Linked DNA regions of Coturnix japonica. The main gene of each other region encodes a partner of the protein of the gene in region 2 in a complex. Links are inferred from orthologs where the notes say so. Each region holds a gene or a part of one and is shown on either strand. Other genes may lie near its edges.

Region 1 (7,242 bases), on a different chromosome or scaffold from region 2:
AAGTTCAGCTGTGGCACACAAGTGCACAACAGGCAACATCAGCTCTGGGGGAACATCATCAGCAGTGCTTAATCCAAAGGCCCAATTATCTACACTGTCTCCTATTGGATCAGTTCTGCTCTTTTAATCTCAATAACGTGATGTCTCAGCAGGTTCTGGGCATGTCTTCCTACAATTGTGTCCTACCTGTAAGCCTGGCCATTAATGATGCCTTGAAGAAAGCACTAGAATGCAGAAGGCAGCTTGCAAACAAGGTCAGAATGGGGTTGTCTTGCTTAAGGCATGATGCTGGTGTTGGCACAGATGGTTTGTATGGGATGGTGACTGCTGCTGCCACCTGGGGAAAGCAGGTGGGGTTTGGTCGTTCAGGTGTGAGGAATGAGCTCCCATAAGCTGAGCAGTAGGGCAGGTCAGTGATGATAGTGAATAGATGGTGTTCATGACTTTTTTTGGGGGGGGGCTAATTGTGTCTAGTGGCAGGGAAATAAATGCAGTGTTGAATTTCATCAGTTGGTTTTTGTAGTGGAAATGCTAAGTCACAGCCTGAACCAGTGATTGAACACCTGGTGATTGAGCCAGCCCAGGGGAGCTCAGGTGCAAGCAATGTACCTAAGTGACTGGAAGGGGTGGAGCCAGGATCCACCCCTCCCCAGACTTCATCTAGGGGTTGGCAGTGGAGGTGAGGGAATAGTAGTTGGGGATCTCTGCATACCTGAGGCCTTCTGAAGGTAAGCAGCTTCTTTCCTTTATTTCTGTGCCTATGGCTGTTGTGTTTGAGCAAATCCTTGCTTGCTGCAGCCTGGGACCTTGCTGCTCTGTTGTCATTGCTGTGCTTTCCATTGCATTACAGTTTTTTAGGGGGCAGTCCTATAATGCAGGACTGCATAACTTCCAAACAATCTGAATTATTTATGGCTTCTTAGTGTGATGTTCTGGGTGCTTTGCCAGTCTACAAAGCAGTTCAGTTATCAAAATGTACTTTAAAATTTGATTCAGATGTTTTTAGTGGGCATTAAAATGTTTTTGGTAAAATTGGAGTTGAAAGGGAGGAAATAGATGCTGGAAAATAAAACAGATGGTGGAGAAGCAAAGCTTTGGGACCACTGGTGTTTGCTGTGATTGTGTTGAGGGTCTGTTTATTGTGGCATTTCCAGGGATTCACACTGAGCCTGCACTGAATCTGGTAGTCTCTGCTTGAGAACAGAACGTTAACTACTTGGAGGGGTGTTACCTCTTACTGTCTTGCTCTGCTGTTGAAACCAGAAGGTGACCTGGGCTCACTGGATGCAGCAGTCTGTGTGAACTGTTATCTTCAGTGACATCTGTGCTGTTTGTTCCAACCCTCTCCCCTACTTCTATATAGAAGAGGCTAAGTAGTTTTTTTCCTTGTGTTTCTTATAAAGGTGGGATGGGCATAGGCTGAGCGACCACAGCGTTTAGGGTACATGACTCTGTGATGAAACAATTCCTAAATTCTGAGCAATATTTCTTTCCATAAGCATCTGCTGCTTATGCGCTGAGAGATGAATATTGTGTGTGTGAATGTGAAGAAAGCAGCTCTTACCAATGTATATTTTCCAGAATTCCATCTGCAAAGGGAAAAACAAACAAACAAACCTCCATTGGTTTCTGTTTTCTGGGCTTAAAGGGGTGGCTCCAAAGCTAAGAGCTTGAAGGGAAGCACCTCAGTAGTCCCAGTGGTGAGCACCCAACCCCTAATGAGGTTCCCCAGCCTGATAGATGGATTGTGAATGAGAACCAAAGGGTTGATGGGTGCCACGCAACCTCCCCAACCCCCCTTGCTCTTCAGTCCACCCCACTCTGTGCTTCACCCCAGCACTGTATACAGGTGATGCCCAGAGGAAAGGTTTTGGCTGTTTTGCATCAGGGATACTCACTGTTTTTTCTGTGTTCTCAAACACTTCTCGGGCTTCTTCGAAGCTGCATTTTTCTTCTATGCATTCTCTCTCGAGGTTCCCAGCAATAAACTCTTCCAGTCTGTTTGAATTGCCTCGCCTTGTCCTGCTCAGAACTGTGCTCGCCTCTTTGTTCTCAATGAAGACTGCAATTAGAAAAGAAAGCCAGGCTGCTGAATAGCCGTGGGGTGGGCAGTAGGGCTCTGCAGTCTCAATAGTCCTTCTCATGAGTTCATCATCCCCCATTGTCAGTGATGTTTTAGAAGCATTATTGCCTACTTGAGGTTTCTCTGGTGTCTAATTTAACTGCAATCTAGTTACTAACCTAAGCTGGGGAACCTGGAGTCAAAGCAGTCCATAGGTGAAATTGGCTGATGGCAGGAGGGTGATTAGGAGCACGGGAGTTTAGCAGGTGGTGTTAATACCTCTTATGATAGATGCCCAAACTGGAATAAGCTATTCAAGGAAGGAAAACCAAAGGCTGCTGCGTATTAGAGACGTCTTGTTTGAACACAGAAATTGAGGCAAAGTGGTGTGAGCACTGCTGGCCCTACATCCAAAGGGGGCACCCATGTTGCCACCAGCCTTTCAATGGTGGCCACTTGGTGATGTGGTGCTACCACATGTGCTCTCCCAGCCAGCACTGACCTTGCTCCCCAGGTTGGAAGAAGCATTTCTGTCTGTCTGTGCCAGGTGCAATGCTAATTGTTTTTGCAATGATTTTAATCACTATAAAGCAAGCTTGCACCTCTGCCTTCCTCATGCTTTCCATTAAAAAGAAGGGGAGTGCATTAAAATCCCGATGATAATCTAATTGTTTGGCAGTAGATATTGATGGTTGAAGAACTCTGGCTTGGTTTAAACACTGCAGTTCCCATGGGCTGCCTGATCCCTTCCCATCTGCAAGACTGGGGTTTATATATGGAATATGCAAGTCACTGGAGGAGTCCCTCTTCCCTCCAGCATGTGTCACAACATCTGGCATGAACTCAAGCTGGGCTGAAAAGCTTGAACTGAAGGAGATGAAGCAGCCTTTGTTGGTTTTGAGCCCTGTTGGGTTCTCCTTGAGGTTAGTGCCTGGGGAACCAGGCATGGGCACAGTTACGTGCCTCTGATTGTGGTTGCATTTCGTTAGGTCTGCTCCTTCATTTCTTAATGCTGGAAGCATGCTAGGCAATGGGCATAATTAACCCTTTTAATGAAGAGCTCTAATTTTAATGAAAACAAACTTCACCTTCATCAGACTCATTTCAGCTTTCTTGATGTCTACTAATCTCACGTGCTGCTTTATAGGCAGGACTTGATTTAAACTGAAAGTGGCAGAAACCCAAGGGGTCACACACAAGGTGCTTGCCCTGGCTGGAAATGATCTTCCCACCAAGTATATGCTCGTGTGGCTTAGCAACTTCTACATCAGCACTTGCAAGAGTGAGGGGATCTTTGGGCTGCAGATGAGACCCATCCTGCCACCTGAGTATTAAATGTTCTAGGAAATACACCTGGGTTGATGGTGACTCTGTTCACTTTCCATTGATAAGCAAACACTTTAGAAAAGCACTTTTTTCCTTGTTTTACCTGTTACTCTCAATGTTTTAATAAAAGAAGAAAGGCCTTGCACCAGCCAAGTTCTCACTGGAAGTGAACCAGCCTCTGCTGGAACTGTTGCTGCTACAGATCAATCATGCAGCAGCCAGCATTACTACGTGTGATTACCCACATCCATCAACTACTCTATCGTGTCTACAGTTTTGGCTGCATCTTACAGTCTGTTAAATGCATGCTGGGTTTGGCTTTAAACATTTCCCACTGTGGCAAGCCCAGTGACTGTTCTATGGGAGTGAGTGCTGTATTCCAGGAAAAAGCGAGACTGTGGATGTCACTCCTCCAGTGACATGTTTCCTCTTTTTCCTTTTGTGTGTGGGTGCGTGTGCTCTAAATGGCTGAATCGAGCACTGAAAGCTGTACAACTTCAAGAGAAATCCCATCCTTAAAATTAATCCCTGTGAAACTTTCTGTGTAAAAAATCAGCATAAAAGCAGAAGAAAGAGCCGGAGCTTCAAATAGAGGAGCTCTGAAATGCTGCGGTCCCACTGACCCCTTGTATCTCACGAGATAGCACAGGTTGTCCCACTGTGAACTGACAAATGGACCCTCTCTGTGTGCCAGTAACCCCCACCCCCATGAGCGAAGGACTTCATAGGTTTTAAAATGAACCCACCTGTACTTTCGGCACCGAGAAAAGCTTCCAGGAGACAAAAGGAGAGTATGAGGGGGATTTTTGCCATCTTCTTCCTACTGCCCAAACCTAGGAACAAATTGTTCAGGTGGTGGAGCTCGGTCAATAGTTCCAAAGTGCAAGCTCCTGTTTATTTGCTCTGGGTAACCCTTTAATTTAAGGTCCCCAGATGTGCCATTGCTGAGCCTTGGAGTGGCAGCAAGGATGTTATTTGAGAGGGCACATCCATGCTGAAGAAATGTATTGGGTAGCTGCTGCCTTTGGGGTCATCTGATGTCCTATAGGATGTTGCTGCTAGGTTTGCAGGTTGAGCAAGGCGCAAGAATACATTTAAGCCAGCTTCAGTAACCTCTTAAAAGCACTGGATTGCCCATTCCTATCCAGATGATTGCTGCATAAAATCCATAGCAGTGCTTTCAAAGCCTTCAGCAGAGCCCATGTTTCCAAGAGGGCCCAGCATAGATTCAGTTGGAGATGACCCTACAAGTGGTGCAGAGAGAGTGAGCAGACTTCTGGCTGCGGGTTTGCTAATTGCTCCTGTTTCAGACTGACCAAAAATAAGGTTTCTATACAAAATCTTTAATGCTTAAGGGTGTGTTACTTATAACTCTTAAATAATGTTTCTTCCCTTCTGACTTTCCATTAATGTGAAGGTGAGGGATTTCTTTGGGGCAAATACTGGGTACTGTGTAATAAATAAAAAATGAAGCATTAATTTCTAGAAAGGCTGAAATGAATGCACTCAAAGCTCTCCCCTCCTCTCTTTCCTTGAGGAGTTGTAGGGAAAGCAAACTGACATCATTCACCCCACTCTAGAGAGGGCTTGTGGGCTTTATACCAGTGACCTGCTTCTCTGATTGCAGCTTGTCCTATGCATAGTGCAGAGCTGGTGTCCAGCATCGCACCCGCACGTGATGGAGGCCAGCAGGCTCTAGAGACTTGTTAAAGCACAAGGGCTGAAGAGGAGCAGGCAGCAGCTCTCACTAGTTCCCAGTAAAGCAAGATTAATATTGTGCAGTTGTCAAAGCAAGATGGGTATTGTGCTGTTGTTGATGCAAGAGAATCCTATGGTGTGTTTTGCAGTGCAGACAGGCTGGCTGCTTTGATGGGAAGCAATGTGCTGTGCCGGATGTGCTGTGTCTTGCAGGCTGGAGAGCTCTCTGTTGCTCTGAGGCTACAGCAACCCTCGGGTAGTTGTTGCAGTGTGTGCTCAAGCTTGTGAAACATCAATTCTGTGCAGTCAAAAAATGTAGAAACGTTCCTTTGTGCAGCAAGTGTAAGGGACATTTATGGTTGCAAGGAGTTACTTTTGTATGCAGAAAGGAGCATCAGCTGTAGGTAAATAGAAGATGCTGATTTTGAGTTACAGCTCTGTGAGGTCTGTGCTGCCTAGGTAGAAAAAAATTCCTATGTTTTTCTTTCCTTGAGGAAACAAAAGGTCCCCAAACCAATAATTCATCTTGTTTCCTCTTGCTCCACTTGAAATGATCTTTATTCATCACTGACTGTAGCTTTTGTTATCAAATTTCTGTGGTGGATAAATGAGTTTGGATGAGGTAATGTGCTACTGATGTAAATTGAATGCAAAGTGAAGAAGGTAACGATCATCTCTCGCTTTCTGTGCATAAGAAAATGCAAATGGGAGAAAATAAATAGAGCTAAAATGCTGAAACAATACATCTCCTATCAATAAAGACGAGTGTAGAGCATGGCCTGCCATAACAAAGGATAATTGAAATCTCATTACTGCAAATATTTTGCTTCAGAACATAGGTCAGTCACATAACTTTTGGTTTATTGTGCATATTTCACGTGTAATACCATTCGCAACATTATGGCTAATTAATCTCCACAGAAAACACCAACATCATTAGAATAAACAAGGCTATTAACGCAAATAATTTCTATTGTTTGCTACTATTCCTGTCAACTTCTGCGGCGCCGAATTGAAAGCTAAGTGTTTATTTTTACTTATTTTGAAACCAAAATCCCTGGAGTTGCGATCGCCACCATGAGCGCTTTGGAGATGAAAGCTTTGTTGTCTAGGTGGATGACATCAATTAAGTACCTGATCTGGGTTTGTTTTGATTTGGTGTTCTGCGCTCTCAAGTGAAAAGCATTAAAAAAATGCACGGTCAAGCTGTGCTTCTTCCTATGAAGAGGCTTTCTATGAGATGTCCCTTCTGATTTGAGGCGTTAGATTTGGGGCTGTTTTTGTTTAAGATGGTGTTGCAGCAGGGGGAAGTTTGGGTTGGATGTTAGGAAAAACTTCTCGGAAAGAGGAGGGAGGCACTGACATAGGCTGCCCGACCCTTGGGGTGCTCTGCAGCTGTGGAGATGTGGCACTGAGGGATGTGCTTATGGACATGGTGGTTTGGGTTGGGGTTGGATTTGGGGGTCACTCCTTTCCAACCTTAACGTTTCTAAGATTCTACTCCCTAGGCTGTGAGGAGTCTGGGGTATTGGTACATTGCTACCTGTTTCTCCTCCTTTTGGGTCTCATTGGCTCGTTAGTTGTAAATCTTATTTTCTATGTCTGTGGTTGGAGTGAAAAATGCAGATTCCTTCTTGGAAGGAAACGTGAACTTCCTGACTTGAAGAACTGCCAACAAAAAATCGGTAGTGTGTATTTTGGGGCTGGTGTGTTGGGCTGGAGGATGCAGCAGAACAGGGAATGGCAGCAGGTAGCTTGTGCTAGAAACATCACCTTCCCAGCAGGGCCATTACCTCGGGCCTGGGAACTGTTGGTCTTTCAGAGAAGCTTTCTTCTGCAAAGAGAAATGAAGTTTATGAGCAGTCAGAACAAGAGAGGTATTTCCATTTTCATCTGATTTTTTTTCTTTTTTTTTTCTTTTTTCTTAATGTTCTCTGGCTGCACTGATCAATAATGTTAAATAGGCTGATGGCTTGAGGATCTTGTTAAAGGACTGTTCATAATCTCCCTTGTCTCCAAATGCACTATTTTATGTGAAAAATCCTTCTCAAAACCTTAAGCAAATTTCAATTTGCCTTTGCCCTCTAGGCAGCTGTGGCAAGTAATCTTTCCTTAACCAACAGCAAACAAGCTGTTTCTGAAATAACAGTGAAAGT
Region 2 (6,999 bases):
GCCGAGCCCCTCAGGGATGCAGCATCACTTAGATGTACTCAGTGTTCTTTTCCTCAGGGGTAGGTTGCCCTCATCCCCACACCTCACCTGGCAGCTTGGCGTTTTCTGGACTGAAGAGATCTTCCAGCCCCATTTTTCTCAGCTTCTCCTTGACGCTGAAGCTGTCCTCGATGCGGAAGCGGGGGAGAGAGACAGTAAGGGAGACCTCCACCAGTGAGTCGATCCAGTCCTGCAGCTTGTCCGACGTCAGGTCTCGTTCCACCTCCACCAGCGGCGTGCCGGCTCTGGGCAGGACCAGCACCATGGTGATGTCGTCCCCTTTGTAAGGCAGCTCCAGCACCTGAACTTTGTCCTGGATGAACGCATGGCGGAACCTGGCCTCCTGGTACATGATGGGGACTTTGCAGGTCTCACCGTTGGCTTTGTGAAATAAATCCAGTCTTGTATTTAGAGCTGGAAACTGCGACTTCCAGTGTCCCTGATGGGGAGATGGTGAGGGCAAAAGCAAACATGAGCAACATCGCTGCCCCTGGAAAACTGGCTGCTCTCCAGCTTTGTTAGCCATACCTTAAAATAAATGGTGTTGACCAGGACCAAGACGGTGAGATCATCGATACCTCTTTCTGGGATCACTTCTGTAATGCGCCTCTCCGTCTTATTGGCTACCCACTCATTTATGATCTGCCTGGAAAGCTCTGGCTTCTCCTGAAGGATGAGACCAAAATAGCTGAAGTCAAGGGTCATAAACACCTCTTTGTTTAGTGCCCACCTCCCCAGGGAGGACACTGCACAGTGCTGCAGTGTTTAGAAAGGAGAAGCCGGGAAGTGACTGTGGTTATGGAGCTGGGGCAGGAGCTGTGTCCCGTGCTTATGTCTGTCTTCACCAGCATTCCCTGTGCTGAGCATGGCATTCCCTGCAGCAGAGGATGGGGGTACAGCAGAAGCAGGACAGGGAGTTAGGAACAAACAAACCAGGAATCTCAAAGCAGTTCAAACTCACTTTGAAGTTCAACGGCCAGAGTTTGGCTCCATAAACTATTTCACTAATGTTCTGGTAAGTCTCATTGAAGACCAAGGATTTCTCTCCAAAGAGACGGTTTGCTGATATTAGCTCTGATGACTTGTTGGCTTTCTTGTAAAGACGGCAGTTGAGCTTGGCAAAGAAGAAGTGGACCTGGTCAGATGTCTTCTCTGAGATAGTGTCAAACTGGAACACCTGGAGGGGCCAAACAGCAAGAAGGAATCCATCAGCAAGCTCCTGTGCTCCCACAGCAAGTGGTGATGCAGGCCTTGCCCTCCACTCACCCCCTGAAGCACAGCCTTAGAATCACAGAATATCCCAGATTGGAAGGAACACATAAGGACCATTGGGATCAACTCCTGACTCCAATTAACATCACCCTGGCCTTTCCCCAGCGAGAGCCCTGCACCAAGTGGGCATGGCATTGATGGGACCAGATGCAGCTCTTGGGTCAGCGCAGGCTATGGCAGGACCTGTAGGGGTTTGCTCTAATCCTGTGAGAATGCCAAAGGCTGCTCCTTCCCAGGAGTAATTCTCATGGTCTGTTGAGTAATTCTGGTACTCATTATCTATTTTGGAGTATGTGGCAATTGCTTTGAGGGTGGATTTCAGCAGCACAGTGATTTATTTCTAATCTGTTCCTGGCTGTCAGCTGGAAGGACAGCTCCAATTTGTCAGCTCCTATCCATCTCAGGGCTTCAGGCACAGAAAAATCCCATAGCAAATTGCTCATGATCTGTGGCACCACTTCCTATGAGGGGCAAAAAGGGGTGTTAAGAGCCCTCATGCAGGGAAAAAGAGAGCATTAGGAGCACAGCTCATGGAGAGAAGTGTTCCCATCCCACAGTAGGGGCTGCCCACAGGGGAAGGTGTGCCTCAAGGTATTGCTGGCCCCTTGCTGAATGAGCTGAAACAGCCTCCCATGCCCCACCCTGGGGCTGTTTAAATAAAAGCATCCCCTCCTGTGCCTGCTGCCCTGACCAGGCAGCCCCCAGCAGCCGCTGGCACTGCCAGCTCCGCAGCCTTTCAGGCCCCAGTAGCAGCTCTGGGGAAGGCTGAGGATATGCCACTAACCTCCATGAGCTGCTGCAGGGTGTCACCGCACGCCCCGAGCTTGGTCATGGCGAAGGCTGTGGAAATGCTGAGGGGTGACAGGAAGATGTTCTCCTCGTTGTCCTTGGAATCGGCCAGGTGCTTGTAGAAGACGACGGCAAAGCGCGAGTTGGCCCTGGACAGCTCCCAGACACGGGGGTTGGTGGACCCCGGGATCCGGCCCTTCCCCGGCTCCAGCACCTCACTTTCCTGGGCCTTCTTCTCAGGGTTGCGGTAGATGCAGATGGGGTTCACTGGGATATCACGGGGCTTCGCAGTGCAAATGTCTTCCACAGCATAGCGTACAGGGGCAGCCATGCCCCAGAGGGCAAAGAGACACACAAGGAAGAGCTGCATTGTCCTGGAAACAGAGGGAGTGCTGAGTGTGCGCCCACCTGCCCGGAGAGCCCCCAGCCCAGCCAGCACTGGGGTATAGGGACCATCACAGCCCTCTCCCATCACCCTCCTGTAGTGCAGCTGTGGGATGGACCGGGACAGCCCCAGCAGAGCAGCACAGCTCTGAGCACACCCTGCTTTTAGAAACAGCACAATGAAAACAGTGCTTTCCCAGAGCCACGGGTGTCCTTTCTTTAAGCAGCCCTGACAAACTGGTGCAAAAACACATAGATCAAAGCTCTGATCACTCTATGGGGAAGCTGCCAAAGTCCGCTCTGCTCTGCAGTCACGTTTTTGCTTTGTACAGACCCTGCCCTGCTCTCTCTCCTGGGAAAGCACTCCATGCCCCAAGCCCTGCAGCGGAGAGCCCTCAGACAGTGCTTTAGATGGTTTCCTTCCCCTTTTCCTGGGGGAACCTCCTTCTCCAGTTCTGTTTCCTTCCTTCCCTTGAGCTCTTCTGCCATTTCAGTTTCCAGCTGTGATTTCAGGCCCACCTCAGCCTTGCCCTGTTCTAACTGCTGATGCAGGAAGCTCAAACAGGGGATGTAGATCCCCACCAGCCCCAGCAGCACATTACTGGCCACCCTAGGGCTGATCAGCACTGCAGCACAGAGATGCCCTCTGTGTGACTCCCAGTGGGTTTGCTCATGTCCCCATGGCTCCTCTGGGGGCAGGGAGGGTGTGAGACTCCATGTGCCCACCGCTGCTGTCACCTTGTGCTGCCCCATCAGTGCGGAAATGGAAGGTTTCTTTTAATGACCGCCAGAGCTGCCAGCATCCAGCAGGGCAGCACAGAGCAATGTGGGGAGCTCTGGGCTCTTTCACAACCCCCTGCCTGTACTCTTATGCAATGGCTGGATGATCTTTGAGGTCCCTTCCAACCCAGACCAGTCTGTGTCTTCATCTGGGCTGCAGCTCTTCCATGAAAGCAGAAATTACCTCATTTGGCACCAGGGCTGTACTGAGCCTGGGGGCCTTCACCAGCACAAACTGTTAGTGCAGCAGCAAGCACTGCAAGAGGACGTGTACAACAAGATGTTTTTGCTCAGAACACAGCCAGTCTGAGTGGTAAAAGCAAACACACTGTTGCAAGAAGGTGAAGGACAGATGCATGGAACAGCTGCAGCACCACAGAAGGCAAAGCCTGAAAGGGGTGGGAAGTCAAACAGACTGACCCTGAAAGCACCACAGCAGGCAGGAGGAAGGGAAGTGGGAGCACTGCAGGAAGCACCACTCTTCCCAATACCAGCTCCTGCAGGAGGGTCACCGGGCTCTCAGCCCCATCCTGCTGCACTGCACGCCCTGCGGTTGGTTGCTGAGCATCCCACAGCCCGTCCCAGCTTCAGATTTCATCCGTTTAGAGGGGATGTGGGATTTTATGCTCTTAGCCCCTTCAATCTGATATATCAGCTCCCTGGGGCCAACCCAGCCCCCCAGCATACCCAGCACAAGCACACAGCAGAAGGGGAACACAAGACCCACAGGGCTGCATGCCATACCGCTGGCTGGGAGCTGCCCTGCTCCCCCAGCAGCTCCTGGGGCCTCCCTTTCATACTGTCCACACCACACATCAGCTGGAGGGAGCCCAAAAGCATTACAGCAAATGGCTGCCTGGGAAGGGTTACTGGCAGGGAAGAGAACACTAAGGGGGAAGGGCTTGGCTGTCCTGCTTCAGTCACCCCTGTGAGAAGCACAGAAAACTAAGGAACAAGTTGCTGATTCAGCTAAAAACCAGAGGGCTCCATGCAAATGTGGGGACTCCTAATCCCACAGCCAGGCTGTGGCCAGCACAGCCCGTGTGCCCCCACTGCTTTGCGTTCGTCCTGCAACAAAGGCTGCATTCACCCCTGCTATCTGTGCATCTCTGCTGCACTCCTCTGGGCCCAGCAGCTCAATGTGATTAGGATGGACAGAAAACCCTTCCTGCTCCCCCCCCCCCAGACCAGTGCTGTTCCTACATGGGACAGGGGGGTTGGTGCTCACCACAGCATGAAGCAATGCCACAAAGAAATGAGGTGAAGCACAGCCCATCAGTGAGCTGGGCACAAATTGCTCCCTGATGGGAACTGTGATGTTTTAAGCTCCCCATGCTGTGAGCAGAAGCCCCAGATCAAGAGGAGCTGCAGTCTGGTAGCAGCCTGAATTCCTTCAACAGGCAAATGGAGCAGTGGGTTCAGTTAAAAATGAAGCATTAGTGGAAATAGTTTCTCTTACCCAGCCTGGTGCCTCCAGCCTCCTGTGTTCTGGATGCAAATGCAGATTCCCCAGGAGGACAGGAGTGCTCAAGACCCACACACACAGAGCAGCTCCACACTGGGCTCCCGTGCTCCAGCAGCAGGCAGGTTGGGGGCAGGATGCTGGGGCCAAAGGCTGATGACCGCTGCAGAAGGTTAAACAAAGAGCAGGAAAACAAAAAAGCAATGTTTGGCTTGAAAGAGGTTTTAAAGTTCAATCTGACAAGGGAAAGTTTGACCACCTACCCCTTAGAAACGCTGGGTGCCTTCCTTCTTTGCCAATAAAATAATTAGCCACTCATGAAAAAGCTCAGGAGCAGCACTTGTGGTCCTTGGCTGCAGAGGAGGGCCTGCAAAGCAGGGCTGGGTTACAGCCCACGGCCATAAGTACCACCTGAAAACTGGCTGTGCCCAACACATCAGTCTTGCACATGTTGTTCTTGCTCTCACCCATCCTACAGCAGGGCTGTCTTTGGACAAAGTGAGCACAGAAGTCACACTGTGACCTCCGAGCAGCACCCAGCAATGCAAAGCAGCCAAGAACTGCAGGAGGGCATAGGAGGTGAGCTGTGTGCTGCAAGGAAGGGCTCAGCTGCGCTGCTCACTGTGCTCCCAGCAGTGCTGGTGTAATCGCCGAGGTGAGACGTGCTCACAGCCCTGGGACCTTCAGAAGGAATCAGATGCTCTCTGCTCCCAGCCAAGTGTGCTGTATCCAAGCAGGGGCTCTTCATCTGGTGCTGCGGGGCAGCTCGATGCCACATGGAATGGGAGCAGGCACCCACTGTGTTCTGCACATCCCACACAGCTCAAGCTGTGGGAATTAAGTCTCAGCAGTGTGATGAGGCACAGCAGCACTGCAGCTCACTGCAAGCAGGCAGAATGCCTAGAACAGAGCATGGGAACACCTCCTTTACCATGATAGCCCTATTAAAGGCAAGGCTAATTGCAAAATGAAAGAAGATGGCAAGCTGGGGACTTCCTCTAAGTATTTATTCCCAAACCCAGCGTAGCGCCAAAGGGACCCATCAGCTGCCCAAACCAAACCCCATGGGAGAGCTGATAAATACCTATCTTAAGTGCAGTAGGTAAGTGGCAATTTATTGCTGGTCCAGATCAAACCAACAACCCAGAGCTGATGGCTGGGCAGAGCCATCCCTGAGGAGGCCAGAGGAAAAAAAATGGCAGGTTTCCCCAAACTCCCCATTCGGCTCCTTCAGCCAGACTGCAGCAATTCACATCTCTTTTAGCAGCCAACCTTGACAGAAGTTCAAGTTGGTTTTAAGTGTAGCTGAGCATCCTGGAGCCCTCACACCAGTGCAGAAAATGGGAATGGAAACCATTGCCTGCAGAAACACCCAGTTTCCACACGATTGCTCACCAAATACAACTCTCTTTATAGGAACTGAATATCTCAAGTGACCCAGTGAGAGAGGCCAGCTGTGTGACTGCCCTAAAGGCAGAGGGGACAGCATTTGGTGCTCACCGCATGCTGGACCTCCAGTCAATTAGCAAAATGCATTATTTTGAGCATCCTTTCTTGTTGGAAGGAGCAGCCTAGCTTGCAGGCAGGCAGAGAACAGACAGCCCATAGAAGCAGCCACTTCTCTGCTGCTCAGCATCTCCCATGCCCCAGCCCCAAGGAGAACCCACACACCATCAGAACATTGCACCCAGAGTTCAAAGAAATGCACATTCATCCGAGACAGAAAATGAGAGATATTTCAGTGTTCTCCATTACTTTATCATTTAATATAAATGCTGACAGAAAAGCAGATAAGACCTTGTAGACACTTCCATCTATTTACAGACCAAGTAGTGAATCACCATCTTTCCACCGGTTCAAGAGTTTGTTGGATCTGCAACTCAAAGGACTCTCAGACACTGTGTGGAAGCAAGGTGAGGCCAAGCCAGCTTGAACAGGGAGAAAAGCAAAGTGAAGAAGAGGAAAGGAAACAGCATTTCAACATATGGCTTTTTTTATGTCACCATCATGCACACACAATAGGTCTCCGCTTCCTTGCTCTTTAATACAAGTGACACTGTTGGCTCTGTAATTTAAGGAAGAAACAAATACTGACTTTCAGACCTCTGGACCTTCCTTGCCTTTTGCCTCCTTCAGCCTGCTCTGTCCTACTACAGCATAATGCCTGGCGGGCTGTTCTTCCCACTATAACAAGTCTATTGCAGGAGTAAAGACAGACACAGTGACCTCTTCTACTCCTTTAGTCATCTGGGTTTTCCCAAAAGGCAGCAAAG

The links. Proteins that work in one complex are often made in the same cells at the same time.
Region 1: the proteins of SERPINC1 (region 2) and F9 are in contact, whole or in part, in a crystal structure (PDB 3KCG), measured with the Homo sapiens proteins. The link is inferred for Coturnix japonica from reciprocal best matches to the Homo sapiens genes SERPINC1 and F9. Residues at the interface, in NP_000479.1 of Homo sapiens: Glu264, Asn265, Arg267, Glu269, Met283, Met284, Tyr285, Glu287, Met347, Val349, His351, Val420, Val421, Ile422, Ala423, Gly424, Arg425, Ser426, Leu427, Asn428, Pro429, Asn430, Arg431; in NP_000124.1 of Homo sapiens: Lys247, Val248, Asp249, Ala250, Phe251, Cys252, His267, Cys268, Glu270, Glu285, Tyr312, Arg358, Phe360, Lys362, Gly363, Arg364, Ser365, Leu367, Lys387, Phe388, Asp405, Ser406, Cys407, Gln408, Gly409, Asp410, Ile429, Ser430, Trp431, Gly432.

The regions. Positions count from the first base shown.
Region 1 is NC_029519.1:4,844,623-4,851,864, reverse strand, and holds the start of F9 (coagulation factor IX), read right to left. Parts: upstream 4,262-7,242; 5' UTR 4,202-4,261; coding exon 4,135-4,201; intron 2,063-4,134; coding exon 1,899-2,062; intron 1,590-1,898; coding exon 1,565-1,589; intron 729-1,564; exon of another isoform or gene 696-728; intron 1-695. UniProt on the Homo sapiens protein: Factor IX is a vitamin K-dependent plasma protein that participates in the intrinsic pathway of blood coagulation by converting factor X to its active form in the presence of Ca(2+) ions, phospholipids, and factor VIIIa.
Region 2 is NC_029523.1:4,510,169-4,517,167, forward strand, and holds the start of SERPINC1 (antithrombin-III), read right to left. Parts: upstream 4,861-6,999; 5' UTR 4,724-4,860; intron 2,475-4,723; 5' UTR 2,471-2,474; coding exon 2,096-2,470; intron 1,217-2,095; coding exon 1,001-1,216; intron 706-1,000; coding exon 568-705; intron 479-567; coding exon 88-478; intron 1-87. UniProt on the Homo sapiens protein: Most important serine protease inhibitor in plasma that regulates the blood coagulation cascade. AT-III inhibits thrombin, matriptase-3/TMPRSS7, as well as factors IXa, Xa and XIa. Its inhibitory activity is greatly enhanced in the presence of heparin.